Tribolium castaneum: one gene and its partner. The protein of the gene in region 1 interacts with the protein of each later gene in a pairwise test. Links are inferred from orthologs where the notes say so. Each region holds a gene or a part of one and is shown on either strand. Other genes may lie near its edges. The genes, in order: gw and polyadenylate-binding protein 1.

What was found.
Region 2: the proteins of gw (region 1) and polyadenylate-binding protein 1 interact in binary tests that used the Drosophila melanogaster proteins (3 or more experiments, as listed by UniProt). The link is inferred for Tribolium castaneum from reciprocal best matches to the Drosophila melanogaster genes gw and pAbp.

Annotation. Positions count from the first base shown.
Region 1 is NC_087399.1:1,984,470-2,001,106, forward strand, and holds the start of gw (protein Gawky), read right to left. Parts: upstream 11,057-16,637; 5' UTR 10,903-11,056; intron 7,578-10,902; exon of another isoform or gene 6,985-7,577; intron 6,934-6,984; exon of another isoform or gene 6,797-6,933; intron 6,725-6,796; exon of another isoform or gene 6,618-6,724; intron 5,885-6,617; 5' UTR 5,846-5,884; coding exon 5,248-5,845; intron 5,192-5,247; coding exon 5,072-5,191; intron 5,015-5,071; coding exon 4,758-5,014; intron 4,706-4,757; coding exon 3,958-4,705; intron 3,328-3,957; coding exon 3,011-3,327; intron 2,959-3,010; coding exon 2,173-2,958; intron 2,123-2,172; coding exon 1,980-2,122; intron 1,772-1,979; coding exon 1,618-1,771; intron 1,564-1,617; coding exon 1,346-1,563; intron 1,296-1,345; coding exon 1,058-1,295; intron 1,013-1,057; coding exon 893-1,012; intron 845-892; coding exon 536-844; 3' UTR 1-535. Other genes in the region: innexin inx2, read left to right, coding at 11,478-11,718, 11,764-12,107, 12,155-12,673; coiled-coil domain-containing protein 137, read right to left, coding at 12,887-13,063, 13,665-14,217, 14,265-14,341; developmentally-regulated GTP-binding protein 2, read left to right, coding at 14,455-14,518, 14,570-14,727, 14,774-15,088, 15,139-15,693; lysosomal-associated transmembrane protein 4B, read right to left, coding at 16,280-16,637. UniProt on the Drosophila melanogaster protein: Required for gene silencing mediated by micro-RNAs (miRNAs). Silences both polyadenylated and deadenylated mRNAs. Required for miRNA-mediated translational repression and mRNA decay. Not required for miRNA target recognition.
Region 2 is NC_087403.1:5,254,646-5,271,006, forward strand, and holds polyadenylate-binding protein 1, read right to left. Parts: upstream 7,444-16,361; 5' UTR 7,197-7,443; coding exon 7,004-7,196; intron 6,859-7,003; coding exon 6,292-6,858; intron 6,241-6,291; coding exon 5,123-6,240; 3' UTR 4,771-5,122; downstream 1-4,770. Other genes in the region: pyrethroid hydrolase Ces2a, read left to right, coding at 1-35, 94-618, 664-826, 872-1,328, 1,376-1,590, 1,636-1,775; ScsbetaG (succinate--CoA ligase [GDP-forming] subunit beta, mitochondrial), read left to right, coding at 2,640-2,696, 2,750-2,873, 2,925-3,024, 3,071-4,034; siz (IQ motif and SEC7 domain-containing protein 1), read left to right, coding at 10,524-10,780, 14,031-14,279, 14,331-15,597, 15,768-16,242, 16,295-16,361.

The DNA of each region.
Region 1 (16,637 bases):
TCACATTAAGTGCGTTTAGAAACTTGAGCGCCATCAGTGGAAAACAAGAAAACGCCGCCTCACAGTCACAATTGGAATAATGTTACGATTAATTTAAGTAACAAGTGTTGACGTATTTTTTTGCAATTTTTCTCCAAATTTTAATACTTTATTTGCTAATAATTCTCTTTTACAAACAATTCTTGCATCACAAACATACACAATTACTCCACTTCTTCTCAATTAAATAATAAATAAATAATAAAAAATGGCAACTCTCATTTAATTTCAATTTTAAGATAAAACAAAAGGTATTCACGACCGGTCCTTGTGTACATCTGTGAAACTCATTAAATCATAAAGCAATCCTAAAAACAACAACCGTCGTAAAAATTAAAAATTACATTAAATAACAATAAAGGTGGAATAATACAATTCGTGTTTTCCGACATCTTACAAAAATCAATCAAGTTAAAAACGTTTAAAACTTACATCATCAACACCCAATATAATGTGTGAAGTCAGTGTCAGTCGTTTTTTTTTTTTTGTATTTTGTTTACATTGACTCACCGCCGAGGAGGTCGCCGGGAAGAAACGAGTTTAGGCTCGAGGGTGTAGCACGTGCCGGATCAGTCGTATCCAAGGTGGTGCTACCCCATAGACTAGCTGATGATTGACTGTTTGACCAGCCAGTACTCCAGGTGTCGCTCCCTGTACTGGGCTGCTTGGTGGAACCTCTCCACGCTCCCGATGAACTCTGTTGACTTGCAACTTGTTGCAGCAGAGCATTGGCGTCCCATTCTGACGGATTCTCCGCCAAAATCGTCGTATTACCGAGCACGCAATTGTTTAAGGCAGTTTGAGCCTGTAATCGCACCATTACCCCCACAAACCTACCCTTTAATCAACTTACTTTAGTAGCTTCTTCACGTGTCGAGTATTTGGCAAGAGCGAAACCTTGATGCAGGTAAAGGTGGAAACTTTGCAATGGGCCGTGTTGCATACACAGTGTGCGTAGAGTCGACCCGTCAATCTGTTACATTCGATTAAGCGCAAAAAATCACCTAGTTAACGTTACCTGAGCGGTCAAATTGCGCAGGAGAAGCCACGGAGACCCGCCCCAACTTCCAGAGCCCCGTTGGCCGCCGCCCCACGACGCCGCCGACGACCAGCCATTGACCAGGGCTCCACCTTTGGCGGACAGACCTGGTGGCGGGCCGCGACTTTTCGGAGCCGCCCATAATTCGGACGTGACAGCTGTGGTCGGATTCAACTCACCTAGACCACTCTTCGATGACGGCAACTTATTCTGAGGACTAAACGCGACAGTGAAATGAACGAAGCGAGTTAGTTGGTTTGTTCGAACCTAGTGAACGCGCTCGATGTCGACGACGGCGGATTGAAACTCCAAGTCGACGAGCTGAGACTTAAAGGCTGGATTGTGTCGCCGGCCGGGGGGCTCTTGTTATTCGGATTCATTTGGAACAGTTCGGTGTCTTTTATGGTGGCGATTGAGAGTGACGAACGCACTACTGAACCGGGAGTAATACTGGGATCGTCTTCGATCGATTTTATTTGATTACCCTGGAATTTTGCGCGGGATTAGATAATGTGTTAGTTTTGGGCCGGTTTTTGTACCTTCCAGGGCTTTCCAGGTTCAAATTCAGGTACTAAATCAGACAAGGATGGTTGAGTAGGCGTAGGCCACTGTGCGTCTTTACCATCGTTTGATGAATCGCCGCCGCCGGATTCTGGCCAACCACCGTCGCCAGTTCGGCCGCTAGACCAAGGACTTTTGCTCCATTAGTTTAGGTTTAAGCAAAATCAACGATTTTTTTCACTCGAATTTGACTCATAACGTATTGATAATCACGCAACCATCATTAATTGGATCCGTTGTTTATAATCATTGAAATTTTAACTTTACAGGATTTGGTTCATATTTAATGTATTTGTAGCAAGATTTGTTTAATAAAAAAAAAAAAAAACAGACTACTCACCCATCGGGTTGGGTCAACCCTAGTGGATTCATGTTAGGTGAGGTAGCCAAAGGTTTTGACGATGAACCTGGGGCACGACTAAACTCTCCACCTTCTTCTTTATCCTTATTGATCCATTGGTTAAGCCTCGATTGACTCTGATTCTGTAAAAAACCACTCCCGTATCACATACGCAATTTTTTGCTCAACTCACCACTTGATCCTTAATCCCCAAATCGGCGAAATTGCTCTGTAGGGCATTAATCGAGTCATGCATCGGTGCAGCCGTCTTGAACAAATCCGACTGTCCCCCACCGATACTTCCATGGTTTTGTTGTTTGACATAGATGGCTTGTTGTGCAGCAATCTGATTTTGCAAATTCGTAATCTGTTGTTTAGTCTTCGTAATCAACACCGAACACTGCAAGAGTGCACTGTTCGGCTTCCCGTTGATGCATTGCGACTGTGCAACCGACTGTTGTGTCATCAACTGTTGAAGTGTCTTAATCTGTTGCAACAATTGATTCAAGAGAATCAAAGTTTGCGGTGCCAACGGTTGATTGAGAATTTGATGATTAAGATAACCAGCTTGCACGGCCATCTGTATTTGTTGTACGAGCATTCGTAATTGTTGAGTTGAGGGTTGCGATTGGGGTTGAAGATTGCGTCCGGCCGCCGAAACAGCACCAAAACCTTGCGAACCGCCGCCGCCTTGTGTCAACATTTTGTGTACTCCAGCAGGCGAGATGTTATTAATGAGTGAATTATTTGGCCCACCTGAACTGTTCATGTTATTGAGGAGGTTCGGGGCGTTGTTGCCCTGCGGGAACGACATTTGGCCTGGGGGTCCAGACGGGAAACGCTGACCCGGGAACTGCTGATGGTCGTAGTGGTCGTCGTGGCGGTTTCGCCAGCCGTCCGGATTACGCGAACCCAGGATTTCAAGAGCGTCTTCGTAGTTCATGTCGCCGCGGCGAAGCGCCGTCTCGACGTCCTCTTTCTATTAAAAAAAAATCGCAATATAAAACAACAACAATTTTTTAAGCACTGACTTTGTAGCCCATATCCATCAACATTCGGAAACACTTAGAGTTCCAGATCATTTCTTTCGTGAGATTTTGCTTGGGTCCTTTGTTGTGGCCCCAGTCGATTTCGTTGTCGCCCCATAGATGGGTCCCGGCCATTTTCTGTTTGTTCCAACCGCCCACGGATTCGTCCCATCCCGGTCCGGTTTCGTCCCATGAACCATTTCGCCCATGACACCACACTGAACCGTCTGGTTTTATACGGGACTGAGCCATTCCAGGTGGACCAGCGGTGCTACCGCGTCCCATACTTGCCCCTGTGGGCAGATCTTTCCAGTGAGAGCCTATTGTAGGTGAAAAGTTGGATGAGTGCAAGTGTGATTATGATCAGTGTGTGTCTGCGGTGTTAATCTCGTGTGGAAATGTCAAAGAAAAATTAAACAAAATTAAAATCATGATTAGTCTAATTACCCCTCGACGATTCCGCTCTCTAGCACAAGAAATATTTACATTATGTCTTGCCCAAAAAACACGCAAACAATTCTATTTGAATTCAAACGTAAGCTCTAAAATCCCCAATTTTTTTCATTATTACGTGACTCAGTGTTGACGCGTTCTATTTATATTCAAACAACAACCATGTTTATTTCTTTAAGACATTACAATAGCCAAATTTAGAACCTGATGGACCTCGAGGAATTTTAAACCGCTTAAAATAAATTTGATGTCACACAAATCTCATATCAAATATTATGAAACAAAGTTATCTTCCTTTTGTTTCTCATTGCACAAGCAAAAGACAAATTTTCCTCAATTCTCAAACCTTACGTAAACATTTAAAACAAAAATGCATTTGCCACTTGTACCTTATCTAATTATATCAAGTGCATGACTCAATTTTTGCGTGTAATTTCGACAAGAATAACAAACCAATCAAAAATATAAAATAAATAAGTGCAATTCCGCTACGCTACCTTGCTGAGGGTTGCCCCAGAGCGAAGTACCGTCATCATAATTGGGCATATTACGTCTTTGTGTCGGCGGCGATGGTTCTTCCCATCCGGCCCCATTTCCAGGTCCCACCGGCATTTTATTCTGATGATGAATATGTTGTGTCCCTGTATGCGGTCCCGCTTGTCCCCAGAACGCATCAGCGGCTCCAGCACCATTCAGTCTTCCGGTGATTCCTCTCGGATCGCCTCTCATATCACTTCCAGCCAGTCTCATTTGTTCTCTCGGATCTAACAAACGCATCGGATCCGAACTTCCGGCTCGCATATCTCGCAAATCTGGACGCATATCGCGCGGATCAATGCCTCCAGTTGCACGTGGATCGGTGGCAGTGCGCGGATCGCCCCAGCCAGGGTTTCCAGCCGCTGCGCCCCATTCGGACTCTTTTTTCGGACCGCCCCACATACCGCCACTATTGGCAGTATTGCCCCATTGTTGCTGGCCTGAGGGGACACCGGTCCATACGTTTGAACTGTCGGCGTCGTCGTCTTCGCCCCAGGTACCGCCAATGTTGGTCGAGGGGGTGTGACCCCATGGGGTTTTCTGTTGGGGCTGTGGAGGCGGCTGACCGCCGTTACGCAAATTGGCTTCCCATAGTTCGGTGCCGTTGTTGATTGCTGGCTTCCAAGGAGGTGGAGCTGAACCGTCCATCTTCATCGAGGGTTCGGGACTGCCGGGGATGTCCCAGTTCGTGTCTTGATTCACATGTTGCTGTACGAAATGATTAGTTAAATTTATTTCGCAAAAAATTAAAAATACGTACGCCTCCCCAACCGTCTTGGCTGAAGATGGCTTCTCTCATGTTGTTGAGTTGTTCAAGTTGTTGTTTGGTTGAAGTGGTCGTGTTGGGTTGGGCGGTGGGATTGGGTGGTTTAGCTGAAGATGTCGAAGTTGTAGGTTGGGGTCCATTGTTGGTTGTTGGTGGTTTTGCACCTGGTTGACCCCAACTGGAATTGTTTGGTTGTGAGGCGGGTGTTTGTTGTTGTCCATTCGAATTCAGGTTAGAATTGGCCTTGTTGGCTATTTGAATAAAAAATTAATACTTTTTGTATCGGTTTTAATTGATCAAATTTTTACCATCTTGCGTAGGTCCCTGGCTTGAGGTCGGTGGTCGATTAGCGTTATTGTTCCATTGCTGAGTGCCTGTATTGTTTTGATTAGCGGGATTGGCTGTTCCCCAGCCGCTCGAAGTGTTAGCTATATTACGGAATGAATTCGTTTAAAATGAATAAAATGATTTAGGGGTTTGTTACCGTTATTATTACTGGCCTGTTGTGAGGGTGGGGTGCCCCAGCCAGAAGTGCCGGTGCTGAGCGAACTTTCGCCACCGCCTCTTAATCTCAGAGGCGGCGTATGATTATCGCTTGTGCGCTGAACGTGGGGCTCACGGCACATTTCGTCGTCGTCGCAGTGTTCGTCGTTGTTATCGCAGCTAGTGAGGTTCTTCAGTGCATTGAGGTCGAGTACTTCGAGGTCATCAGACTTTTGGTTGGGAATGTCTCGTCCGAGGGGTAAAGCACCAAACTTACATACTAACTTATCGCTATTATTGTGGGCGACCTTGCAGTGGTCTTTACGTTGTATTTTTGGTACGGTAACAGAGTTCAGAAGACAGTTTTCGGTCACAGATTGCATTCTAATATTAGAGTTGCCGTTTAAACGGCAACTTGAGCCGTTTATCACAGATGTGGCGCCTTTAGCGGCGATGGGTTGGCTCGGGGGGTCGGCTCGACCCCCCCAAGCTGCCCGAGCGACTTGTACTGGGGGTGCGCTGCCCCTCATGGCTGACACTTGAGGCACTTGGTAGGTAGGAAATGTAGACTTCGGCTCGGAGGGGGTGGGGGCGCGCATCGTCACTAGTGCTCCATATCAGTCTGGCCAGCCAGAGATCTGCAAAACACCAACACTTCAACTCTTCCACACATTTTGAAAAAATCACGAAAAATAGTTCCGTTTCTGGCCGACAACGCTTACTTTCAACTACGTTTCTAGCTGACAATGTTCGAAAAAAAGCCAAAAATATTGATATTTTTGCACTAATTTAGCCAGTTTTCGACTTGCAACTTGGGCGATTTCTGTGTTTTAATAAAATGTTGGGAGAAATATTGTTTAAAAGAAAAACCAAAAATACCCTTTTCCACCGAATTTGGTGATTCCACTGACAGAATTTTTGATTAAATTTTACCAAAAAATGTGTTAGAAAGAAGGAAAAAAATGTGTTCAAATATAATTAACTTTTTGCTCACTTTTTTGAATTTTTCGGCAAAAGTGCAGGGTCTTGAATTGTGTTTTATACATATTTCCACGATTTTTGCTGTGTACTCTTTCGTTTTTAGAATTATTTTGACAAAACTGTCATTTTGACGTCATTCACAATTTAAATCAAGCGTTCAAATTTCATAGGTGACTTGATGAACAGCCATTTCTGAACAGTACGTACTTTTAACTCCGACAACGCCATTCTTGACCAGTTTAGGCGAATTTTTGGCTGATTTTGGACGAAATTTTGCAATTAATAAAACAAAATCAAAAAATTAAATCCAGGGATCGGTAAAAACACCACCCTTATTTAGAATAAAGACCGCCATCTTATCTTATTCAAATAAACGTCAAACATACCAACCTCCGATAATAAAGTGAAAGAAAATCAAAAAATGAAATAGAAAACGCCACTACCCACTTTAGCGAGCGGTAGAGATGCACGAAATGCGACAACCACCTACATTTCAGTATCTCTGCGGTTTAATTTTAGAAATGAAAGATTATTTTGACGCATTGTGTAAGCAATGCACGAGTAGGCGTCGGATTACTCGAAAATTTCAATTACCAACATTGGGAGAACTAAATTAAAATGTCATTTTGATAAATTGTTGCTGGTCGTAAAAAATCGATAAGAATAGCCAAGTATCCACCAAATTGTAACACAAAGTGAGCGCAAAGTATAAAATACGTGACGTCATTCGAGCGAATTGTTTATCCAATCATTTCAGATAATTGCGGACGATTAAAAAAATGTTACAATAAATGCAAAAACTTACACACAAATATGGACGCCCGTGGAACAACTAGCCAAGTTGGTAGAGGGGAGCATGAGAACGCTTGAGAAACATCACCCAAGTCATATCGAATTATTATCCAATAAATACGCACTAAACTGTAACGCGTTCACAGTTGAAAAGTTGGTGATTTATCACACGAACAAATGAGAATACTAAATATCACAATTATTTCAATAATTTGGCGTTAAATACTTGTATTATACGGGCACCACAGATTTGTTTATTGATCCGCAATTACGTGGCAGGGCTACCTTCACTCGGCTCGAATCGTTCGCGATCGCGACGGTTCGGCTTTTGGAAAGCGTGCAGTACGGAAGGTGATTTCGATAACAATCGGGAGGCATCCAGCAGGGGGGTACATCAAGGGGCCACCACCACTATTGCAAAACCTGATCGTGTCTTCGCAGAATACAACGTAAATAAAAACAAACCTGGCGGCCAATGAACGGTGGCGACACCGTTACTATTATTATTAATGTTAAACGCGCTGAGAAAATGCACCCTTTTTGCGGGACTGATAACAGTGATAGCGCATCGGAGACGGAATCCGAGCTAACTGTTTATGGTCGACGGCGACGACGCCGTCGCCGCCGCCGCCGCCGACGCGCGCCCTGACCCAATTTACACAACTAGGGAAAAGGGATAAGGTCAGGTCGGACGAAGGGTACGCAAGGCCGAAACTGTTGTGACCTTAACTCGGGAACGGATTAAATGGGTCAGGACGACGTGGGGAGGAAGTCATCATCACGTACGGACGGAACTAGGCCCCGTTTACGTCAATTAAGGCGCAAAATGACACTTTTCTCCCTCTCAATAAAATAATTTTGGCCCCATCAGGATTAACTTAATTGTAACTCCATCATTCCTCATCGGAGGATTTCTATCAAACAACAAAAAATTCAAATTGTTTCAGTTTAATTTGTTTTTTCTCAAAATAAATTAATAGTGGTTTAAGGAAAAGCTGAGAGCTTTACTAATAGAGCCCTTCCAAGAGAAATGTACCTGACATTTTCAAAATAATTTTAGTAATATAATCTTTCAAAATACATGAATTTCTCGGGTGCTGATAATCAAAATGAATTAAAAGTTCCTATGATAAAAACATTGGTTAAGCCTTTTTTCACGAGATATAGCTCTTAAAAGTTAAATTTTCAAGTTAAGCTTTTGGTGCTCCAGATCATATTTTTCTAACTTTAGTTAGCGGAAACGACAGCACTTGGAACATTAAACGAATAACTGTTGAAAAAAATCAACAATTGATGTCCTATGATGTACAAAACAATTAAAAACTGACATCATAGGAAACAAAAGAGCAAAAATCCATACCCTTGCTAAGGAAAACAAAAAAAAATGTCAAAATTAAGTTGCTTCAAAAAATACGAAAAAATTCGCTTCGTCGAAAATTGTGTTACTTGACGTTTTTCAAGCCTTTAGTTTTTTTTTAAATTTGTTAAAACAAATTATGAATGGTTTATGCACTTTTTTTATGGATGTTGGCTTAAAAATTAATAAAGTAAGTTTGTTCCCGAAAATTTTCCTAAAAATTACAACTTTTTAAATAAGTTTTTAGCCTGTTTTTTTATAAGTTGAAAGAAGTCCTTAATTACTTTTTTGAACCAAAATCTAACTTTTTTACGATTTTTTTTTGTATTTATGAGCGTTCGAGCTACTAGTTTTCAACAATTATTTCGTAAAATTTTGAAAATTTATTAAATTACGCCAAAACTGCTCGATGAATTTGCATTTTTGGAGTGTTTAAGCACATTTCAGAGTTTCTGAGTTAGTTATTTTTTCTAAAAATTCTGCTAGAATCAGAAAATTAAACTGAAATTGATATTATTTTAGCAGTAGTTTCACTAGACTCATGAACCAGAAACTTATTAATCTTGCAAAATCTTGTCAAAAGACGCATAAATATCTCAAAAATAAATCAAAATTGATAGTATTTAGACCTTGTCACTGCACTGAGCTCGTTTTTAACTGAAAATCGGTTAAAAATAAAGCTAAACATGGAAAAATTGTTTTATTTTCACCATGATAACGAAAAAAATTTAAAGTTTTTTTGTGTCCCGTCCGTTATCAATTCATATTTTTTCCTGCTCTATTTAAAATTTCATAAATGTGGCTCTAATTCTAGGTTGCGAACAGTTTGACTGGTACTCGGTGTCTATAAAGAAAATATCACTTCTGATGAAAATAAAAAAAAAATAAAAACTTGTGTAGTGTCCCGTCCGTTAAAATGGAATGGCTTTATATTTTCAACCTATCGCATTATCTCTTAGAATAAATAAAATTAAATTAAATTAAACAAATCACGAGGGTGATGGCCCTATTAGCCCCCCTTGATACGCCAGAAATCACGCACTTCCTTGTTCCAACCAAGAAGAGCCTTCGATAACTGTTCTGGATGTGCTAATTGAGAGGTTAACAAACCGCATGGTTTTTTCCGCACCATGGTTTTATGAAATTAAACTTCTCGGGTGGATGACGACACTTTTTTATTACTTTATTATATTTTCCCAAGGTGTTTAACCCGTGCAAGATATTCATACCGATCGATAATAATTGGCAAAAACGCGATTTCGTTAATACGTTCAAAAATAGCTCATTTGAATATTTATAAAACCGGATTTTTTCAATATTGTAACAGCAGGTCAACAAATTGTTGTAATAACTTGACTATTTTAACATAATTGAATTTAAAAGATTTGAAACTCGTTAGGGCGTTGTTACACAAACAACCATAAATTATGCACTTTGTGTGTATTTAAAGTTTATTGCGTTTAATAACAGTAAATTTACAACTTAATGTAACACTTCACTTGCAGGAAACAGGGAAAAATTTCTAGGAACTTTCTTGCAATTTTTATTATTGTCGCTAATTCCAGGCAAGAAACAGGGACATAAATTATAAGCGGCGCTTATTCGCATAAACAGGCCTTTTTCTCGAGCACACGTCCTCCATTTGTGTTAATAACGATAAACATTTAAATAATGGCCAAGATAATGCAAGTAGAAGGTTTCAGGATTGTCCAACAAATAAATAGATAACGAGTACACAAATTGTGCAATTTTAAAAACAGTATTACTTATTAAAAAAATGTGTAATAAATAAAAGGACGAAAGACAAAAGAGCATGTCCAAGATTCCAGGACCGTATTGAACTTTTTTAACAGTGGATTTTGATGGAATCATGTGAGGAAACCTGGGAAAATCTCCGTGAATTGTTCCCATTTTCGCCATCTGTCATTGTCAGCCTCTTTCTGAATGAAACCGTGTAACCTTGAGGCTCAATCAGCGCCCGACTCTTGTTACAAAGCACGCAACTCAAATATCCCCTTTATTTACAAATAAATAATTCCCTCTCCGATTGTATTAATAGTACTAGGGCCAGTAAACGCTTAATCGCAAAATCGCGGGTGGCGGTCCTGGGGGCGCCTTTGGCCCCCGTCCAGCGACCTGTGACGGTAACAAGCGTTCCGACGCCAACGACACACAATCAAAAGTGTTTTCCATCCGTGAGCCTGGCAACAGTACAGCTTTATAAGTAAGTCCGGAGCTCGTACTCATGCTCAATCAAGGTCGCATATTTGCGAAGAACGGCGCTCCGCCCGCGAGCCAACCCAACTAGACACTAAAAAGATACATTCACTCGCTCCCATTGCATAAATCCCAATCTGGGGAATGTTGTGGCGGCGCGCCGTGCGCACCAAAACAACGCGGCCTCGCGCCCGGCAGCCCCCTTCTCGCCCGAACGTGTTTTGCATTTTCGGTAAGACGCCATTTGGCGGTGCACCACAAGCGGACAAGTGCCACCCGAACGGGAAAACTAGCAAACTGTGTACTCACCTATCCGTAAAAGTCTTTTAATTAAAAAATTCGCACAAATATCACTCGAAATCACACAGATTCAGCTTGAAATTCTCGTCAAACATCTAAATGACCGTCGAAGCATGACGCCATTTTTAAGTCTATTTCTGTTATTGGGCCGCGCGCATGCGTCGGCCCGGCGACCGCTTCCGGCCGTTCGAATTTTCGCGCCACTTGGAGGCAAACTCCCGGAAGTTGGCCCGTACTAGCCACGGTACTAGTACTATGTATTTTACGTGCCCCACTTTACCCGACTACGGTTTAATTGTGGATTTGGAAAATCACCGGTGGCACACGAGGTCGTTTGTACCCCAAATTAAACAAAAGGCGATCGGCGCGTTTGACCATAATTTAACAGTGTCATAATTTGATCACCCGAACAATAAAACCAGCAGTAAAAACCATTTAATTGCACAAACAAAAAATCTTTTTTGGTGGAATAAAACCGCGAGTTGCGACTTTCGCCTCTATGCGGTTGGCAATAGGGGCAGGCACTTGGCGCCATTTTCTACCGGTCGAGTGTGAAAACTTGTTCATTTTGAAATTAACTTACAATGATGGACTTTTTGAACTCTTTCAAGTCCTTAGTGAAGGTGGAACAGATCCGTACTGACAATAACGTGTTCCGTTTGCACTACAAATTAACCGTGATTATGCTGATCGTGTTTTCCATACTCTTGACCAGCAAGCAGTATTTTGGGGACCCCATCAATTGCAAAGTGGAGGAGAACCGGGACATCGTCGAGACGTACTGCTGGATACACGGGACGTACATCCGGCGGGACACCCTATCAGGTAATTGGCCAACAAGCCGGGACGTTTTTTTTAAATTTTGTGCAGGCAAAAGTGGGTTTATTCCGGGTTTGGGGCTCGACAACCGCGACATACGGCCCTGGATGCGGAGCCCTGATGATAAAATCATCTGGCAGAAGTACTACCAGTGGGTTTGTATCGTTTTCTGCTTCCAAGCGCTGCTCTTCTACCTGCCCCGTTACTTGTGGAAGACGTGGGAAGGGGGCCGTTTGAGGCTCCTGGTGAGCGACCTGAACACCCCCCTGGTGACGGCGTCGTGGAACCCCACCACCAAGTCCCAAATGATCCAGTACATAATCAACGGGAAATATTTCCACACGTTGTATGCCATCAGATACGTCGTCTGTGAGATACTCAACTTGGCCAATGTGGTAAGTTGCCCCCTTGTTTACGCTGGGCTTAAGCCATTTTTTGCCAGATTTTGCAAATTTTCCTCATGGACACGTTCCTGGGGGGGCAGTTCGCCCTCTACGGTTTTAAGGTCTTTGCCAACGGGGACATCAACGCAATGAACGAAGTGTTCCCGAAACTGACCAAGTGTCAGTACAGGTTTTACGGCCCTTCGGGCTCCGAGGTCAACCGGGACGCCCTCTGTATCCTCCCGCTGAACATTTTAAATGAAAAGTTGTTTATTGTGTTGTGGTTTTGGTTGTTTTTTCTTTCCGGTGTTACTTTTTTGTCGCTAATTTATCGTTTTGTGGTCGTTTGTGTGCCGAAACTGCGCGTTTATCTCCTAATGGCGCAAGCCAGGTTTATCGGGAGTAAACAAGCCACTTCGATTATACAAAAGTTCAGTTACGGCGATTTTTTCGTTTTGTATCATGTTGGCAAAAATGTTAACCCGATTGTTTTCCGGGAGCTAGTTTTAGGTATTTATGAAACGCTCAAGGACAAAAATCCCTACGTGTATCCCGGGGTTGAAGTCAATACTATTTAAAGTGTTCCTAGACAACTTATTACTTAAGTTACCAATTCCTAGTTAAGTTAAGCTCGTTCGTTTGATGTAACTTTAAATCACAAATTTTGGACTTGGGACCCAAATTCAAACATTCTCTGAACTTATCGTTACATCACAAGTGTTCATGTTGATTTTTATTTAAACAAAATATTGTATTTTGATAAAGTTTTTGTATTTTTGTTAATAAAATAGTTACAATTCACTTCTCCTGCCTTTTAATTCCCTGTAAGCTTCAATCACTTCCTTCTGTTGTTTATCAAGTTGTCTCCTAAGGGCGTTTGGCAAGTCTTTCCTTTTTCCCGTTTTATCAATCACTTTATTACTGGTTTTGTTTAGAACAGACTTCAACAACAAGTCTTTTTTGCCGGGCTAAAATTTTGTTTTTTAAATTACGTTTGTTATTTTCAAATTAAATTGGCAACACTGGTTTACTCAGAAGATAGAAATATGGTCTTGAGGACTTTTTAAAGAAAATTTAATTGTCTACAGTTTGCAGCGTTTTAAAAATACGAGACGAAGCGCAAATTTTAATAATTTTTTCCCATATTTCTCATCAAAATTTTAGAGGTCAGTTTGTGGAGAATGCAGAACTCAACATTTCTGCATTTTTTTCGGTATAACGCTCGAAGCGCCCTCATTTTCCCCACCCGTACTATTTTTTTGGGTACAGAAATCTGCGATTTATTCGTTTCCTAAGTTATAGTCCTCCGTAGACTTGTCAAAGCACGCTCAAAAATTAAAAAAATAACTCGAAATTGTTGGTATTTAGTTCGACTTTGAGTGAAATTTGGTTAAAGCACGTTTTTTCAGTTAAAAACTTAGTTTATTTCGCAAAATAAATAATAAAAATTCAACTTTTGGGGCTCGAATTTGGGTTGGCAACAGTTACGCGGCCACCCCTCCGGAATGAGTGACAATGTTGCCAACTTAATTTCAAATTCATTAAAATGTATGCGAAAGCGTGACTTACTCGTGGGGCTTCGCCCCCCGTTTTAACCTTCCGGGGCGCAGTCAATGTAGGTGGTTCATGCACTTGTTCCCCAAACTTAACCCTATCTTGAAACTTCTCAAACTCATCAACTTTATCATTAATTCTCTTCTGCTTCTTTTCGTTTAATTTTAATCTCCTTTTTTGCGACTTTGTTAATTTAGGCCCTTCTTCCTTCTTCTTCTTCTTGGCCTGTTTTGCTTCTTTAACCATCACTTGCACGGGGTCTTTAGCCCGTTTTTTAACCCCTTCTATCTCCCCCTCTGCATTCCTCTGAACCTCAACCCCAAATTTTTCCTCAAAAGCCGCCTCGTGTTTAACCATCGCACAGTGCTTGTGCACCCGATACAAAAACTGTTTATCTGACTCATTCGGACCTTGTTTAAAGAATGGCTTCGGACGCGGTTTTTTCACCTTTTTGCGCAAAAAATCGCCACTTTTAACCTTCGCCTTAAGCTCGGCGATCCTTTGCAGACTTTTAGGAACGTACTGTTCGTCTGGGTTACTCGGGGGCGCGTTTATTTTATCCTTAAGACTGAAACGTGCCAAAGTAAGGTTATGCCAGACCGAACAACGTTGTACCTTTTCTCGCGCTCCGCACGTTGTTTCTCGGGGTCTCGGACCCCCCTATGCTTCCGGCCTGGAATTTTGCGCCCCATTTTAACACCCTTTAGCCCCAAAATAAATAGCAAAACTTGAGGTTATATTTACACCAAACAGTGGTGCCAATCGTGCCAAATGTCAAACAAACCGGAATAAAACGTGCCAGAAAATGGGAATTTTGGAAAAAATCTCGGAAATCGAGAAGGAAATCTCTCGCACGCAAAAAAATAAAGGTACAGGAGACACTTCGCCCCCTTTTGTGTTGTTTTATTGGCCTATTTCAGCCACCGAGTACCACTTAGGGCTCCTCAAAGCCAAACTTGCAAAATACCGTTCCCAGCTCTTGGAGCCTTCGAAAAAATCGGAAAAAGGTGAAGGTTTCGACGTTTTAAAAAGTGGGGATGCGCGTGTGGCCTTGATCGGCTTCCCGTCAGTCGGAAAAGTGAGTTTTGGGAACCCCCTGACCTGTCGTTTCATGTTTTTTCTAGTCCACTTTGTTGTCAACTTTAACGAAGACGGAAAGCGAGGCAGCGTCGTACGAATTCACGACCTTGACGTGCATCCCGGGCGTGATCGACTACAATGGGGCCAATATCCAGCTGCTCGATTTGCCCGGGATTATCGAGGGGGCTGCCCAGGGCAAGGGCAGGGGGCGGCAGGTGATAGCGGTGGCACGCACGGCCGACTTGGTCCTCATGATGCTGGACGCCACGAAAAAGGACGTCCACCGACACTTATTAGAAAAGGAATTGGAAAGTGTGGGGATTAGGCTGAACAAAATGAAGCCCAACATTTATTTCAAGGCAAGTCTGGCGCCCGTCTCGCTGTGTAATTTAATTCTTGACACTAACAGGTGAAAAAAGGGGGCGGTATTTCGTTCAATTCCACTTGTCCCTTGACGAAAATCGACGAAAAGCTCGTGCAAATGATTCTGCACGAGTACAAAATCTTCAACGCTGAGGTTCTCTTCAGGGAAGACTGCACTGCCGATGAGTTAATCGACGTGATTTGTGCGAACCGCGTCTATCTTCCATGCCTTTACGTTTATAATAAAATCGATCAGATTTCGATCGAGGAAGTCGATAGAATAGCCAGACAGCCGAACAGTGTTGTCGTCAGTTGCAACATGAAGCTCAACCTAGATTACCTCCTTCAAGTCCTCTGGGAGTATTTAAATTTAATTCGCGTTTATACGAAAAAACCGGGACAGCCGCCGGATTTCAGCGACGGCTTGATTCTGAGAAAGGGGGTTACAGTGGAGCATGTGTGTCACGCAATCCACAGAACGCTCGCCCAGCAATTCAAGTATGCCTTAGTCTGGGGCACGAGCACCAAATACTCGCCCCAAAGGGTCGGCACTTCCCACGTCATGCACGACGAGGACGTCATCCAAATAGTTAAGAAGTAATTAGATTCGTTGTTACTGCATATTATTAAATGATTTTCTTACACTTCTGGCCGTTATTTCCGAACATTTTTTAAGTGGCGAAATTTTATATATTTAATTAAAAAAAACACCCTTTCCTACCGTATTTGGTGATTCTATTGACTGGATTTTTTACTTCGTTAACCGAACTCCACTGTAATATTGCAAAGGTGGCAAATAAATGGGCCATGCATTTTTCGAGCTATATTTACTTTTAAAGTACATGTTATAGATACTGAACAACCTATTCAGCCGGCCGACTTGGCCTTGCGCCTCACATATAAAAATTAAAGCAATTCTAAAGTTCAGTCAACCTTCAAATAAATAAAACCGACTATACATTGAAAGAGTACACTCTTGAAACCGTAATTAGCATAAGATATGTTACATAAACTTCGTTATTAGTTAGGAAACACTCATTTCTTTAATCTAAAATACACATTTGAATTCTCGTTTTGTTTTCTAAGTGCTTCTACTCAAACTGTGGAATGTTGACACGAAAATCGATTTATTGAATTGAAAGAAGTGCACACTTCGTTATAATAACTATGACTACACCAATAATCGTTTATTTACTATTATTACCCTCCTCTTCCTCCTTCTTCTCTCCCTCTCGGCCCTCGTTGCTTGCCTCAGCGGCGGCCTCTTGGGGCTGCTGTGCCTCCGTTTCCACCCTGTAAGTCCCCGGACTATGCACTTCATTGACCAAAACGGTGGGATATGGGGGCGGCTGATCCTCCATAATGTCCTGATAGGAGGGCGGCGGCGTCATTTTCAAAGCGCCGCCAAAGGCCGCCTCCTGCTCGCGCAATAAAGTGGAATAGTCCGGTTCTGGTAACCGATCGGAACCTTCAGTTGGAAGGATGTAATGGATGGTATTGTTGCGCGACTGTTGTCGCAAAGTTAGGTATTTGTAGCAACGCCAC
Region 2 (16,361 bases), on another chromosome or scaffold:
AGGACTGTCTCTACCTCAACGTTTGGTCGCCTGAGGTTCGAGAGTCTTCATTTTTGTCGATTTCCACAAATGGATTTGTGGCGACTTTTCCAGAACGCAGGCCTGTACGCCCCACTGCCGGTGGTGGTTTTTTTCGAAGGGAGGAATTTTTACCAAAGCAGCGAGTTTCCGATAAACGGGCAAGATTTGGCGACTGAGGGCTTGGTGGTCGTGACGCTCAACTACCGACTGAACGTTTTCGGCTTTTTTTGCTTGGGGTCGGCCGAAGCGCGCGGAAATTTGGGGTTGTTGGACCAGTATTTCGCTCTGGTCTGGATCCGGCAAAATATCAATCAGTTTGGGGGCGACCCCGAAAAAATCACGCTTTATGGCCACCAGTCGGGGGCTGTGAGCGTGACCTTTCATATGGTTTCGCCGCGGACCGCCGGGTTCTTCCAAAGGGTTATCATTTCGAGTGGAAGTGCCGTAGCGACCTGGCAGGAGAAAAATGACCCGGTGGTGGCATCCAAGCAGATACTTCGGATGTTAGGTTGCGACGCTTACACCGTGCAGCCGATTAAATGTCTCCGATCAAAGAAAGTGGAACATATTTTACAAGCTCTGGCTGAGTATTCAGAGGTGCGTTCGGACAGCCATACTCGAGACACTCATCGGTTTTTGCAGTCTTTTAACTGGAACGATAGATTTTTGCCCGTTGTGGACACCTTCCTACCGGAAAATAACCGGTACCTCCCTTTGAACCCCACAAATGCGCTCAAAGAAGGCACAGATTGGCAAGTTCCCGTTCTGACCGGAATTTCGAAACCTATCACCGACGAGCAATTTAGTAACGTTTTTTTGACAATCGTCCCTCCTTGACCCTTATTTTTAGTGCAGTGGTTGGAACTCGCAAGTCAGGGCTTCACCCAGTTACAACAATACGTCGAAAAGGTGAAAATCCCCGAAATTGCGCGTTTGTATAAACTCGGGGCGTCCAACAAAGACCACATTTATGACCTTATCAGGTGGCAGTACTTCTCGTCGAACCAAGGGGACGTTAGACTCCTCTACGACGAGTTGAAAGATTTTGAGTTTCAGGCCAAAGTGGAAGCGCCACATTTTTTGCAACTTTCGCACCTGATTTCGTCATACGTGCAACCAATTTATGTTTATTTTATGGATGATGTTGGGTTTGTTCTCAATACAACCGATTCGACCATTACCACAGACCTTCTCTTGGTATTTGGACCGATTTTGCTGAAGCAAGTGGCCAGGCGGCGGTTCAACGCCAACGAAATGAATTTGAGTCGACAAATCAAACAGTTATGGACCAACTTTATAATGTTTGGGTATTTCCCCCAACATGAATAGTCCAAAGTCTAGGAAAAAATTTCAGGGAGCCGACACTAAACAATCAGGTCAGATCGTGGCGAAAATACACCTCGGGGGACTATTATATCGAAAATTTTGGGCCGGTTAATTCCCACATAAATGAAGAAAATAAAAAACGCGTCCAGAGGGTTTTGTTCTGGAACCAGCTCGTGCCAAAAATGGCCAATATTAAGAATAATTTATCGAATAACATCCCGCGGGAGCTACAAAATAGTCCAGGTAATAACTAATTCACAAAGTTGCATTTTATTTGGTAAGTTCTAGACCCGGCTGCAGGTTTCCGGCATGCAATGTACACTTTGGTGGCTCTTGTGATCGCCCTGCTCGCTTTGCTCCTAATTTGCATTGTTTTATTGAAAAAGCGATCGAGGGAGCGGGAAAATCATCTTCATATGGGATATTAAAAATAAGTTGCAAACCAGTTTTCAATTAACTAAATATATTTAGATGTCTCATCACTTGTGATACGTTTTTGGGCGACAAGACAGGACTATTAAGTTTTTTTAATTCTATTTATAAATGTCAGCGGAATCAGGTAGACGGGAAAATATGTACATATCGGTGCTTAACAAACGCATTTATAAATATATTTCGACTGTAGATGTGTCGTTACAACAATTTTATTGTTTTTGTCATCACCTTTGTAAAAATAGTGTCCAAAAATAATTATCTTGTGACCTTCACTGTACATACTTATCTAGTTTGTTATTGGCCATTTATGTACAATGACATATAGATTCCACCAATGGCGAGCACAGCCCCTTATTTAAATCAAAACGCCTATTTTTGTAAATAGTTATTAAAAATATTAAATGTGTACTAAAAATAAAAACTAATAGATATTTATCTGTCCCGTTTAGTTTGTTTTAAAATAAAATCCCGCATTCTTAACCTAGAAACCTAATTAGCACAGGTGGAAAAAGTATAAATATGTGTATAAAAAATACAGTTTTTTGCGTAAGAAAATCGAAAAATCGTTTTTATTACCTTCCCTTTACCAAAAATCAAAATCAATGCTTTTTTCCTAGAGTTATGGGAAAAACCTAACCTAGATCAATATAAAATAACTTAAGGAGTGTGTTTTGCTTAATTATCCCACAAATTGGCCGAAAGTTGCGTCACTGAGCAATTTCTCGCTCCGTCTTTTTTTATGGACAATTATTTCAGATAAAACATTCAGACATTTGGACTTTGTGCATTCGTGCTGTTCCCCAATTAGATAAATACCAGTGATAAGTGTGCAGTGCCTTTATTGCGAAAACCAAACAATGTCTTCCCTCTGGAACTCTCTTTTAAAAGTCCCGACTCAGATAAAACAATTCTCCGTAACTTTTTTACAAATTCGCAAAAAACATGACATAACCTCAATCATTTTCAGGTTCCGGTGCGTTATTTGAACCTGTTGGAGTACCAAAGCAAGCACCTTTTGCGCAAAAATGGGGTGGCTGTGCAAGACTTTTGCATGGTTGATGATAAGGGATGCTCCGAGTTCGATAAATTTAGTAAAAGTGTTAATAAAAGTTGGGGTTATGTCACTGTTTAATTTTTTGCAGATGTGAAAGAATACGTAATAAAGGCACAAATTCTGGCGGGTGGTCGCGGCAAAGGCCACTTTACCAATGGTTTTAAAGGCGGGGTTCATGTCACTGAGAAGTAAAATTTTTTTTGTGGTTTTGTCAAAATTGAGCGTTTGTTTCAGACGCAATGAAGTCGACGATATCGTCAAAAAAATGCTCGGCCACAGGCTTATCACGAAGCAGACGCCCAAGGACGGCATCGAGGTGAAAAAAATCATGATTGCCGAAAGTGTGAACATTCAGAGGGAGACCTACGTTTGCATTTTAATGGACAGGCAGAAGAACGGGCCTGTCTTAATTGCGTCCCCCGCAGGCGGCGTGGACATCGAAGCCGTGGCTGAGAAGACGCCCCATTTGATCAAAAACATCCCCATTGATATTCACAAGGGGGTGACCGATAGTATGGCCAATGAGGTGGCCGAGTTCCTGGAGTTCAAGGGGCCCCTCAAGGGTTTGGCCGCAGCCGAGCTGAAAAAACTGTGGCAGTTCTTCCTCGCCGTCGATGCCACTCAGCTCGAAATCAACCCTTTGGTCGAAACGGACAACAATAAAGTGATCGCAGTGGATGCGAAAATCAATTTCGACGACAACGCGCAGTTCCGCCAAAAGGACATCTTCGCGTTGGAGGACGTCACCGAGAGCGACCCCCGCGAGGTCGAAGCGGCGAAATACAACCTGAACTACATCGGGATGACAGGAAACATCGGCTGTTTGGTCAACGGCGCCGGTTTGGCCATGGCCACCATGGACATCATCAAGCTGCATGGGGGCGACCCCGCCAACTTCCTCGACGTCGGGGGCAGCGTCCGCGAGGAGCAGGTCAAAGCCGCGTTCAATATTCTCACGTCTGATAAGAACGTTAAATGTATTTTGGTCAACGTTTTCGGCGGGATCGTGAATTGCGCGACGATTGCCAATGGAATCGTGGGTGCAATGAAGGCGATGAAGCTTGAAGTGCCTTTGATTGTCAGACTGGAAGGCACGAATGCGGCGGAGGCCCGGAGAATTATCAAGGATTCAGGCATGAATATCCAAACAGCTGAAAATCTCGACGATGCCGCCAAAAAAGCGGTGCAGAATGCCTAACGTGTTTTTGTTGATAAAGTGTTAATTTGTTGATATTGCTCATTAGTCAACAGCACAAAAAACTGTTCAAATGACCAATGTTTTCATTACTTCGTTTTGATATTGTATTTTCGGTTAATAAAAATTTCTCATATACTATTCGTTTTTCATTACACCATTATATCCCAGATAATAGTTTTAAAGTATTCAAAATTTTTTTTCTTCAAATGGCACCCTATTACGATAATTTTTTTGATAAAAGATTATGCTCTAAAATACTAAAAGTACTAATACTTACTAAAAAGAATTTCGAAAATTTATTTTTGAAAAAACTCGTTCCATACTTTTGCCCACCTCTGTATTTAAGGCAGTCAGGTAAGGTAATGTGAATATAACTATAAAATTTGAAGTTTGCTTGATAAAAGTTATGTACTTTTGTGAGAAAATTTTACGGTACTGTTTTTTTATTGCTTTTTCGATTAATCAAGTTTTTTAAAACAATTTTCAGTATTCCTTCATCTTATATCCTAGTTTAAGTCATTAAAAAAAATACAGCACCCTTGTTCCTTGGACAAATCGCAATCATTTTTTAAAATCGTATTTGGGCATTTGAAAAAGTAAGCTTAGATCTTTTTTTTAGTGTTTTAAAATGTTGAATTATTTTGGTACTTTCAATACTTACCTTGAATTTTATTTCTGGTGCTTTAGATATTATTTTTAGATCTTATTGTAGTGAAGTGGTAAATAAAAGAATGTGTTTTTATTAAGATTTATTATTTTAAAATTCCAAAAACCAAGAGAGTAACATAAGATTGAGAAATTAATTTGAACGAAAAATAAATATGAAATGTACAATTTTATATTACAAATTCAGTAAGTTGCAGATACATCAATTAATAGGATATTGGAAAATGCGAAAAGTAACTAAAAACCAAAGAAATAACTATTTAACTAAGATAGTGAAAATTGCAAACAAGCAAAAATCACGAACGCATAATAATAGTTTCATTTATGATGATGTTTCGATTTTTATATAAGTTTTTTTGTCGTAAGACATGTTTGCAATTTTTTTCATTTTATTATATTTATTTGTCTGAGTAAGCGACCGTTTACTCTTTTTTAATAGCAGCCTGTTTGGCTTGATGGGCCTGCAAGACAGCAACGGCTTCCTCCACCTTGGCTTTGAGGGATTCATTGTGTTCCAACATATGCAAAAGTTCCGAATTGTCAATTTCGAGCAACATACCGGTGATTTTTCCGGCCAAATCTGGATACATGCGTTGAATAAGTGGGAAGAGCCTCTCACCCAGCATTTGCTTTTGCTCTTGTGGCGGGGCAGCTGCCAACATGGTGGCTGTCAAAGGCTCCTGGCCTTGAATGTGGACAGCTTGCTGGACCGGAGCAGCATTGCTGATGCCTAAACCTTGTGGAGGATTACGCATATTTGCTGTATACTTGTAAGTAGTTGGGCGATTACCTGCAGGTGCTACAACGGCTTGGCTAGCTAATGGTCGTCCTTGTATATTCGGTGGCTGCTGGCCGGTTATTGGTCTTGGCACATTGATATTGCTCCTCAAAGCGGCGGACTGGTTCGGGGGCCTTGGCGCGGCTCGGTACGTGGTCGGAATGGTACCGTACGGGTTAGCGCTGCCCTGGGCTCCGGGCCTCACGGGGGTCTGAGCCGGCCATCGCGGGTTCGTGCGGATCTGGGCCATCTGGGCCGCCCCATAGAACCTCTGCGGGGCTGGGATCGTTGGAACGAAATACCCACTTGACGTTCCAGGCTGGATAAACTGACCCATTTGGTGCATGCGTATGTTCGCCATACGCTGCATGTATTGTGATGTCAAGTGGGCTTTACGGTCCTCCTTGCGCTGCGCTAAGGCCACGTATAAAGGCTTTGAACCTACGATCCGGCCGTTCATCTCGGTCACGGCTTTTGTGGCCTCTTCCGGCGACGAGAAACAAACGAAGCCAAAGCCTTTGCTCCTATTGTCCTCCATCATTACTTTCGCCGATGTTATGGTTCCAAACGGAGAGAATTCTTTACGTAAACGTTCATCGTCAATTGTGTCGTCCAGGTTTTTCACGTAGAGGTTCACGCCTTGGTAGCGGTTCAAACGCTCCATCTTCAAGGCTTCGAAGCGACGTTTCAATTCTTGCTGACGCTCGGCCTTCTTCTGGGCGCGTCCAACGTACAAAGGCTTTCCATCGATGATTTCCTTACCTAAACAAAGACATTAGAAACAAAATCGGCCACTCTCAACAAGCAACATACCATTCAAAGCTTCAACGGCTGTCTCAGCGGCTTCAGGGCTTTCAAAGGCGACAAATCCGAATCCTTTCGACTTGCCGTCGTCCTTGCTCATGATCTTGTAACTGGTGATTTTGCCGTACTTCTCAAACATGGTGCGCAGTTGCTCCTCAGTCAAGTCTTCGCCGAAATTCTTGACGTAAACGTTGGTGAAGAGCTTAGCTTTCTCGCCAAGCTCCTTTTCACGTTCTTTACGTGGAATGAAACGGCCAACGTAGACTTTCTTTCCGTTGAGCAACATGCCGTTTACTTTTTCGATCGACTTGTTAGCCGCTTCTTCTGTTTCGAAATGGACGAAGCCGTAGCCTTTGCTGGTGCCGTTTTCGTCTTGAGCTACTTTACAACTGAGAATGTTTCCAAAGGCTGAGAACGTATCGTACATAGCCTTGTTGTCAATGGAACGATCTAGATTCTTAATGAAAACATTTCCTACTCCCGACTTACGAAGGGATGGGTCGCGTTGGGACCACATAATGCGAATTGGGCGGCCCTTGATTAAATCAAAATTCATGGTGTCCAAAGCGCGTTCGGCTGCAACATTAACATTTACCAATTTCTAAGAAATTTCAATGTTGCGAGCGTGGTGGGGGAAGGTTAACAATCAAAACGGATTAAATATTAAATGGCAGTCGGGTACCATATGGAACAAATAAATGGGCACTGGGTTCGCACTTACCATCAGCGGGCTGCTGGAAATTCACATAAGCGTAACCGAGAGAACGCCTCGTTATCAAATCTCTGCACACGCGAATCGAAAGGACTGGTCCAGCAGTGGAAAACTTTTCAAAAAGCATTGCTTCCGTGATATCGGTGTGGAGATCCCCGACGTACAGAGACGCCATGGGGTAGTTTGGAGCACCCGGATTCATCTTCGTTCTTGCACACTACACAGATATGCTACGCGTTAACATAAGAAACGAAAAATATACATTAACCGTTTATTTTCGTTTTTTCCACTGTTTTTCGATTTTTTTGGGGTTTTTAATGAGTTTTTATAATTTTTTTGGATTTTTGTAAATATTATTTAGCTTTTTTTTAGGTGGGTTGTGTGTTCTAAGAAGATACACAACCACACGCTTACACCACTAACAACAGTAACAAAATGGAGTCGTTACAGCATTTTCACTACTTATACAAGCCGGATATGACTGATTCCAGTGTTGCCATGTGATGAAATATTGAATAATACATCAATTTTAACGGACCCTGCGACCAATTTAGCAAAAAAAGCACATTTTTGATTTCATACATCGTTTCAGAAAGAATCCGACGTCTATCTCAATTTAATCGAGCTAAATTTGCCAAACCATAAAATTTGACCGTTGACAAAGATGACTATTTTTAAAAATTCTTACACGTACCGTCTCCTATAAAACTTTTAAAAGTTTAATAAAAATACGACTTAAATTTTCGTGACCACAGAACACTTTTTATAGTCAAATTGTTACAAATTTAGGCTGATATGAACACAATTTCTAACGGAAATCTAATTTCTAATGTCAAACTTGTGGCGGCATATTTGAAAGAACGAATTGTGGACGTTCAAACGGAAATCGTTACGTGCTTTAAATTCTTAGCATTTAAATCGTGAAATTTATTTAATTTATGTTTTCGATTATAAAATTCAAAATTCTTTTTTTCAAGAAATCTAACTCTCTAAAACAATTTTTTTAACTCATTCGGATGTCTTTTATAATATTAATAGTAGCACTTAATAAGTAATTAGGATGAGACCTGTCCAAAAAGCTTCATTTTTCACATATTTTCGTAATCATTAAGATAAGAAGTAGTGAGTGATTCATCTATGGTGTGGTAGCAACTAATGGCATTACGAACAGTCTTAAGAGTAGTTTGCTTTAATATTCATATTTAACGAACACATTAAAAAAATTAAGTACCAACTCTCACTGATAAATCGGTGTGTAAATATTTTTTTTCGATATGTAACGGTCTTATCTGCTGCCACAAGTATATGATAACGATTTATATTATTATTAGTTTAAACAAAAATTCAGTGAGAGTAAATTTACTTGCTCAAACAGGTGCTTTTTTCTTTTACGCAATTTTTTAGAGTCAGATAACAAATATTTGAGAAGAAATAGATTTTATATACCATATTTTATAACAAAGATTAAGAAAACACTGATGAGACTAACAAGATGAATGTTATTACATTTTATATAATTTTTGCCTTCATTTTGTAATCGGCTAAGTTTATTTTGTGTTAAATCCATACAAAATAGTTTTTCGGAGTTAGTTAAAATTCAAGATTAATTGTATATATTACAGAAATTGTTTAAAAATGAATAAATATAAATAAATTTTCTGTTGTCTTGATTTTTGATGTAGATTAAGAATATTTAAAACTGGAAACATGAGGACCTCTTGTTTCATTAAAAACAAACAAAAATAACAAAGAGTGCTTTATTTTCTTGTGGACATGGCAATGTGGCAACATCGCAACTACTCACGTGGCCATGTATGGTAATTGTTATTAACATTTTATCTGATTTTTTTATCTACAAAGCACTATTGTGCTGATTAGGCAGGTGAACAAAGTTAGTCACCCATTTTCGTGTGAGAAATCACGTTTTATCGGCAATTTGTGCGGAAATTCGTGGTAGGCCGGTAAGACAAGTCGCTAAGTTACCATCCTGGAAGTGTTACTGGAGGGGATTTCCAGATGGGGCAACGTGTGTAGGTTTGTTCATCCCGTTTTGTTCTGTGCTCTCGCTCCTGACGTAAGAGAGACAGATGAATAATAGTGAGAAAAACCAAGGAACAGTGCGGCGCGTTGTATTTCGTCTGTCAATATCGTTTCAGAATAAGATGTGATAATTTTTTTGAAAAACTTGTGTGAAAAAAGGAAAAACCAAATCGTTGCTGGAGGAAAATGCCCGTCAGATTAAAAATTTGGACGGTACCGTAACAACTGAGGATCGTGTGTGTGTGAACAGTAGGAGACCTGCAATGGCAGGAATAGAAGTCGATATAAATTCGTTATTGGCCCAAAAAGATGCCATCATACGGGAACAACGGGACCAGATAATTCGGCTAAAGAGGGAACTGGATGGAGTTGCAAGCGAGCGGGATCTTTTGCTGTGTGAAAACAGCAATCTGAGGTTCGAGCTGGAAATGGTGGAACTGAAACGGTTGCAAGATGAAAGGTGAGAAAACGGCATCAAACACCCGTTTATTTATTGCGATAATTAAAAAATGGGGAAATCCCTCCAAGGGTGAGATGCGACCCTTGTCATAAATCGGTCGCAGTTTCATTGATGAAACGTCAAATGATTTAAAGTGGCAGTCGTGTTTTGTTTGCAAAGTTTGCGTTTGTTTGTTTTTTGTTGTACATTTCTGGGACAAGGATGTTGTAAAATGTCATAAACGACGCCTCCCACTGACTTGGTTCTGTGCGCATGCGTGGCGACGTCGCGACGCCGACCGTTCACACTGGTCAAGAAGATAATAAGTCGATGGTTTTTATTAAATTAAGGTAATTGGCGTTTTGTTGGTAGTCCTGTTTGGAGGTTTTGTTTTTGTGGATAATGGGATTAGGGAGGCGGCGGTCGGATTTGGGGGCTGTCCTGGTGTCATTAACCTCGAGGATGCACTCTTTGGCGGAAATCGCGCTCGGGGTCCCCACAAAGTGTCATATATGCCACAGTCGAACGGCGTATTGATTTCTAAATAAGGGAAAGTGAACGGATATCCTCAGGCTAGTCTATAACGCGCTGTCGTTTTTGAGGCGATTCTTTAGCTGGCGTTTCTTGGTATTGGCAAGCACCCACACGTTTGCGGTAATTGCTCGTGCATCAGCCTTGAGGCTTGTGGTCGTGTAGTAGAGTCGCACATGTCGTCGGGGCGCCAGGTTTAGGTTGCACCAGGGTTTGATCTGCCTCGGTGTTTATTTGTGGTGATGTAACACCAAGGACTGTGACTAAGTGACGTCAGGCTGTAGCCCCGCTCGCCTTCTTCTAACTGTGCCGATCGTTCCATTCGGTTGTCTGTGCTGAGGCACGGTCAGCTGACATTTGTAATCCGCAAACTGTGTACAAAACCCGCGATTTAACAACCCTAGTGCTTCCGGCCACCACCAGTGATCGACACAAAAGTAGAAAGTACGATTACTTTTACTATCGCCGTTCAATCCGGTCGCAAGTGCAATCATGGTACGTGAATTGTGAGTGCTTGTAATGCGTGGACAGTCGCCAGGGGGGTTTCCCCAACCCTTCGTGCAGAGTCAAGTTAGAACCGAACATGTCAGGTCGAACCCTGTGCATACGGTTGATGTGTGCGATAGAACTGTTGTCAGAGTTAGACGCTCCGGAATACAACAAGAACGGATCAGGGTGGTTTGCACCACCAGAAGACAACATGTCAGTAGACTGGTCACTGTTACCGACGCATGTCACACTTTACCGCCTTTCCGGAAACATGTCACTGTCATCAGGTAAAGTCCCGGAAAATAACATTTCACATTTCTCAATGTCATACCTAAGTATATGTTTAAAGAGCTCAATTTTTCACAAGTACGTATTTGGGTAACTATGTTGCTTTATCCAACAGACCTGAACAAGATTCGCGTTTTTTCCATTGTCAGGATAATTTGGAAAAAGTCGCTTTTAAATGATTAATGACGCTGATTGCTAAATTGTTTCAATTGTACTTTAACAGCCACAATAGATCTCCGTACCCTTACTCACTCATTACCGACACAATTAGAAATTATTGATAAGCCACGTTTTTGTCATTTGGAATGAATCATTGTTTATAGGTGGGTGATCAGGGCACGGACCTCCTTGTGCATTTACCGTTGGGGTAATTAACATGCGCCTACCGTATTAGTTTATTTTTGTTTTGTACCTAGGCTGCTAATGCGCCATTAAACCTACATTGGTTTAACTGTAAGCTGCATTTTATGTCACGTTAGTTTCCGTTTTTGCGAGTGAAAGCATCGTTTTTTAGCAATTTTTGATGTATAAAATGACGTCACGTTACGTCACAGGTGTGTGACAACGTCGCTCAAATGTGGCAACGGTGTTTGAAATGAGGGTATCGTTATACCTACATTAAGTCCCGCTAATTGTCTCTACCCTACTTTGATAACTGGAATGTTGGTACCTTATTATAATAATTGCTTGCATGCTACTGCCACTGCACTGGGCAGTAGTTGAACACACTTTTCTCTAATGAAATCAAGGTTGAGTGAAGTAAAAAAGTAGCTGTACGCGTTAATTCGTTAATTAAATCAGATTAATGTATCGAGATCTGTAAATTAATTGAATTAACTGTAATAGTAATTTTTAACGCTTAATTAATCACTAGAATACATGACGCGCTCTAATTTCGGCACAATCTAGTAAAGTGCCTCATCAAAATTCAAAAGTTGTAACATTTAAACGTATTATGTCACCTACCTGACAGATGTGTTTTTTCTTTTTTTAGAAAATCGCCATTTATCATAGCACACAAATGTTGAATATTCGAACAACTTTCTCCTTTATCGTTTAATTATACGCAATTTTAGAATGTAAAATAAACGTACTTTTTCCTAATTTGAATTTATTTACACATAAAATGCTTTATCGTTTGTTGTTGTATGCGGCGATCGTGTGCCGTACTTCCGTTTCTAAATGTCAATTCGACCCGGACCATCGTCATAAAATCTGATCTTTGCCGATTTAAAAATTTTCCATGTGGTTTTTGGCGAGATTTGCGTCACATCCGTCAAGTCCAAAGTGGGAGCAATTAGCGTAATATGGCAATATTTGTTATCGAATTAGTAAACGTAATTTTTTGCACTTGTTCGGTAACGTCGTGACCAGTTTGTCGCTTATGCAATGGCAGCAATTTATCGAAACTTTCTATGATTTCAAGCAATGTCACCGAATCCCCAGAATAATTAATTTCGTTTCGGCTCGAATTAGAAAAAACAAGACAATTGACGCCATTTGAATGTTTTTCATCCGTATGCGGCTAATTTTGAAACAAATTAGTGAATTAGGCGGGCGGAAATTGCCGCAAATAATCGAGGTCGCGCAAACCGTACAATATATTTAATTCCTTTTACATTTAAAAAGTGAAGTCTTTTCGATTTCTCGAAGGGAAGGAAAGGGGGACGAAAGTATTCGAAAAACATCTGCTTTTCGTTCGGTCACCACACGCCACACATGCGTTAGGGCCGCCACCTGCCGGCCCCTCCCTTGCACCTCGCCTCCCCTGGGGGTTGCATCACGTGATAGCCGGACACGTGCATCGTGTCGGTTTTAAGATATATGTACCTTCTTGAAACGATCCAAACCTAAACCAAGTAACGAAGGAAATTCAACATCCTTTACCCTGTAGACTAAGCATCGACATTTCTGTATCTTTTTCCTGTGTGATTATCTCGGATGATAAAAAATGAATGTATAATTTTGGTAAATGTCGTTTCCTGGATATCTGCAATCAAGGCTAGTATGGTTGTATGTCGAAAAAAGATACGTGCTATTGTTGAATTTTGACGGCCGACTTATTTCCCATGGTATTGTCGCATTATTTCTAATTTGAAGCCTCGGCACGATTAAACTTATGACTAATCTAATAATGTCAATGAATTTCTACCAATTGGTCAAAATGAATTCAGGTTTTATAAGTTATGTCACGTCCATTGCTTAAAATTTAATAGTTTCTCTGATGATGAAACACATGATGCCCGATTTACCAAATGCGCCAGCTGCTCTTCTTCGACCTTATTTTTTCCTTTATGGTTCATCTGACTACCTGTGATTTAGGAACCATTTACCATCTTGATTTCAGTTCGCCAGCTGCCTTCTTAGGGTGTACAGCACTCGAGAAACTGCTGCAGTTCAATTCTGTTTATTTTGTTTTGGTGCATGTGTTTGCGAGATGATTATTTGCATATCGGGCTTTTTGGTGGGAAAGTAAGGATTTTTATTTGCTTTTGCACTAATTAATTTTTTTATTGATAAGGTGAAATTTTTTACGTTAAATTATGCATAAATGAGCAATTACACTCATCCTGTAGATAATACAGACAAATCATCAGATTTAATTAAAATATTTAAATTGACCTACCCCGGTACATGCCTCATAAGAATTTTAAAATAGAAACTTTACGGTTCAAGGATTTCCGACAAGTTGGGAAATCAAAGCAAATACGGACTTTCATTTAAAAAAATCTGTATTTACTGTTTTAGCAAAGTTGAGTGAATTTCTTGAAGTCTGTTTTATTCATAAGGATAGAATCATCCTGCGTGTCCTATTAAAACTTATAAATTTGTAATTAGCCCTTGAACCACTCCCGGCTTCAGTTAATTACGACTTGAAACGTAATCATTTTTGTATTTTTTATTTCCGTAAAGTTTTTCTGTGAATTAGGATTTGCGCAAAGGGGCGTTTTGTAATGTGATAGTCGTCTGTTCATTTAGTTAAATGCTTAATTGTGTTTTTATGTATCGTTGGAGTAGTTGCCTCAACACTGTGGTGCTGGGTAAAGAAATGTAAAATTTCTCTTGTTTTATTTTAATGACATTTCATTCTATCTGGTTTACTGGGTTTTTAATAGTTGTGACATTAAAATGGTTTTTGTTGCTTTGCGTGGCAACAGGTCAATAACAGAAAGTTCACAATTCAGTTTTTCAAGGTTGTGAACAGTAATTTAGGTTTTTGTTGTTATTTTTGTATTGTTTTAATTTCAGCTTTCCACCGAAAATGGAAAGGTCCCAGATAGTGAATTCGATGGGTTCATCCGACCAGTTTCAAGAACAGACTTACATCCAGGCTCCCAGTTTTGTCCAAGCTCAAAACTACAGTACTCCAACCCCCAGTCCTATCTATTCCCGTGCCTCCCCTAACAACTCGACGTACGTGAATGTATCGCAGCCTCTTCATAAGAAGGGTTCTTTACGGAACGGAGATGTCTTGAAAAGGTCGAGGGTTCAGACAACGTAAGTACGCTCCAGTGTCATGTAAGAGAAAACTGATTCGGGTAAATTTAGATACGAGCTGTCGCAAGACATTCTCGACAAACAAATCGAAGTGTTGGAACGGAAATATGGCGGTGTTAAAGCGCGAAATGCAGCTCTCACGATTCAACGGGCGTTCAGACGATACACACTACTTAAAAAATTCGCAGCAATTACAGCAATGGCCAAAGCCGAGAAACGTATTAGTCGCCGAATTCCTGCAAATTCCGAAGACTGTCGTAGCACAATAGGTGAGACTGAGCAGTGTCCCGAATATATGAGGAATTATGAAGGACACGACTGCTCGAATATGAGAGTTCTTCCAGTTAGATCGATGTCTTTGCGCGAGAGACGTAATATTGACAATATGCCAATACCTAGGAGTCAGTCGGGGACTCCTACAGTGTGTTGGGAGAATTATTCCTCATCCTCCCTCCAACACTACTATTCACCCGCTGACTCCAAATCGGATTCGCTAGGTACCCAAGTGACTGCAAGTCCCAGTTCTTGTAGTACTCCTACAACTTCCACAAACGGCTACGCTCGCAGCCGCCACAGTCTGAACAGTAGAAAAGTACCACCAGAAGTACCTAAACGAACCTCAAGTATTACCTCTCGTTCGGTCGGAGACCCCCGACACCACAAAAGCAACGGCTTGACCAAAACAAACGAAAACGGCTCGTTGTCAAGTGTCCAAAGTTCCGGTAGTGACAGTAGTATATCGACTGAACGCGTGCAATGTGAATTTTCCGGATCGCCAGTCTGGAAGCGCAAAGGAAATCACATTTCGGAATACGCCGAACCGGCCTTAGAGACCAGTTTAGGGAACATTTCCAACACTAGCACATCCACCTACACACTAGAACGAGCCAATGAACAACAAGCACCCGCCAGCTATAAAATAACCGAGACTATAAGAAAACGACAATACAGAGTAGGACTTAACTTATTTAATAAAAAACCAGAACGAGGCATCTCCTATCTAATCCGAAGAGGGTTCTTGGAGAACTCGCCGCAAGGCGTCGCCAGATTTCTCATCTCGAGAAAAGGACTGAGTAAACAAATGATCGGAGAGTATTTAGGGAATTTACAAAATCCGTTTTGTATGGCTGTTTTGGAATGCTTCGCTAATGAGTTAGATTTGTCGGGAATGCAAGTCGATGTTGCCCTTCGGAAGTTCCAGCAGCATTTCCGAATGCCTGGAGAAGCACAAAAGATTGAAAGACTTATGGAGGTGTTCTCGCATAGATATTGCCAGTGCAATGTCGATATCGTCGCCCGGTTAAGATCGCCTGATACGGTAAGTGCCATGTAATTTTTGCTCGGTAATTTTATATAATCACTTTTTCAATCAAGTAGGAAGACTGTTCTTTCAATGAATATGAAAGTTGTTCATGGGAAATATCCCTATTGATTAAACTTGACAAAGAAAGTAATTACAACGTGTTAACTAATCGTTGTTATTTACAGATTTTTGTGCTCGCCTTTGCGATAATAATGCTGAACACTGACCTCCACACCCCGAATATAAAACCCGAACGTCGGATGAAGCTCGAAGACTTCATAAAAAATTTACGAGGTATCGACGATTGTGGTGATATTGACAGTGATATGTTGACTGGGGTTTACGAGCGTGTCAAAGCGAACGAATTTAAGCCCGGTTCAGACCACGTGACTCAAGTAATGAAAGTCCAAGCAACGATCGTTGGTAAAAAACCAAATATGGCGTTACCACATCGCCGACTAGTGTGTTATTGTCGTTTATACGAAATCCCTGATATTTATAAGAAAGAAAGACCTGGTGTACACCAGAGAGAAGTGTTCCTTTTTAACGATTTGCTCGTTATTACGAAAATTCTAAGTAAGAAGAAGTCTTCAGTTACGTATACATTCAGGAATAGTTTCCCTCTGTGCGGGATGACTGTCACTCTCTTCGAAGCTGCCCGTAAGTTATTCAGTTTTCGTTTGGTGTTTAGCTTCATTCATTTCATCTCTAGATTACCCTTATGGTATACGTTTGAGCCAACGTGTCGATGGCAAAGTATTGGTCACATTTAACGCGCG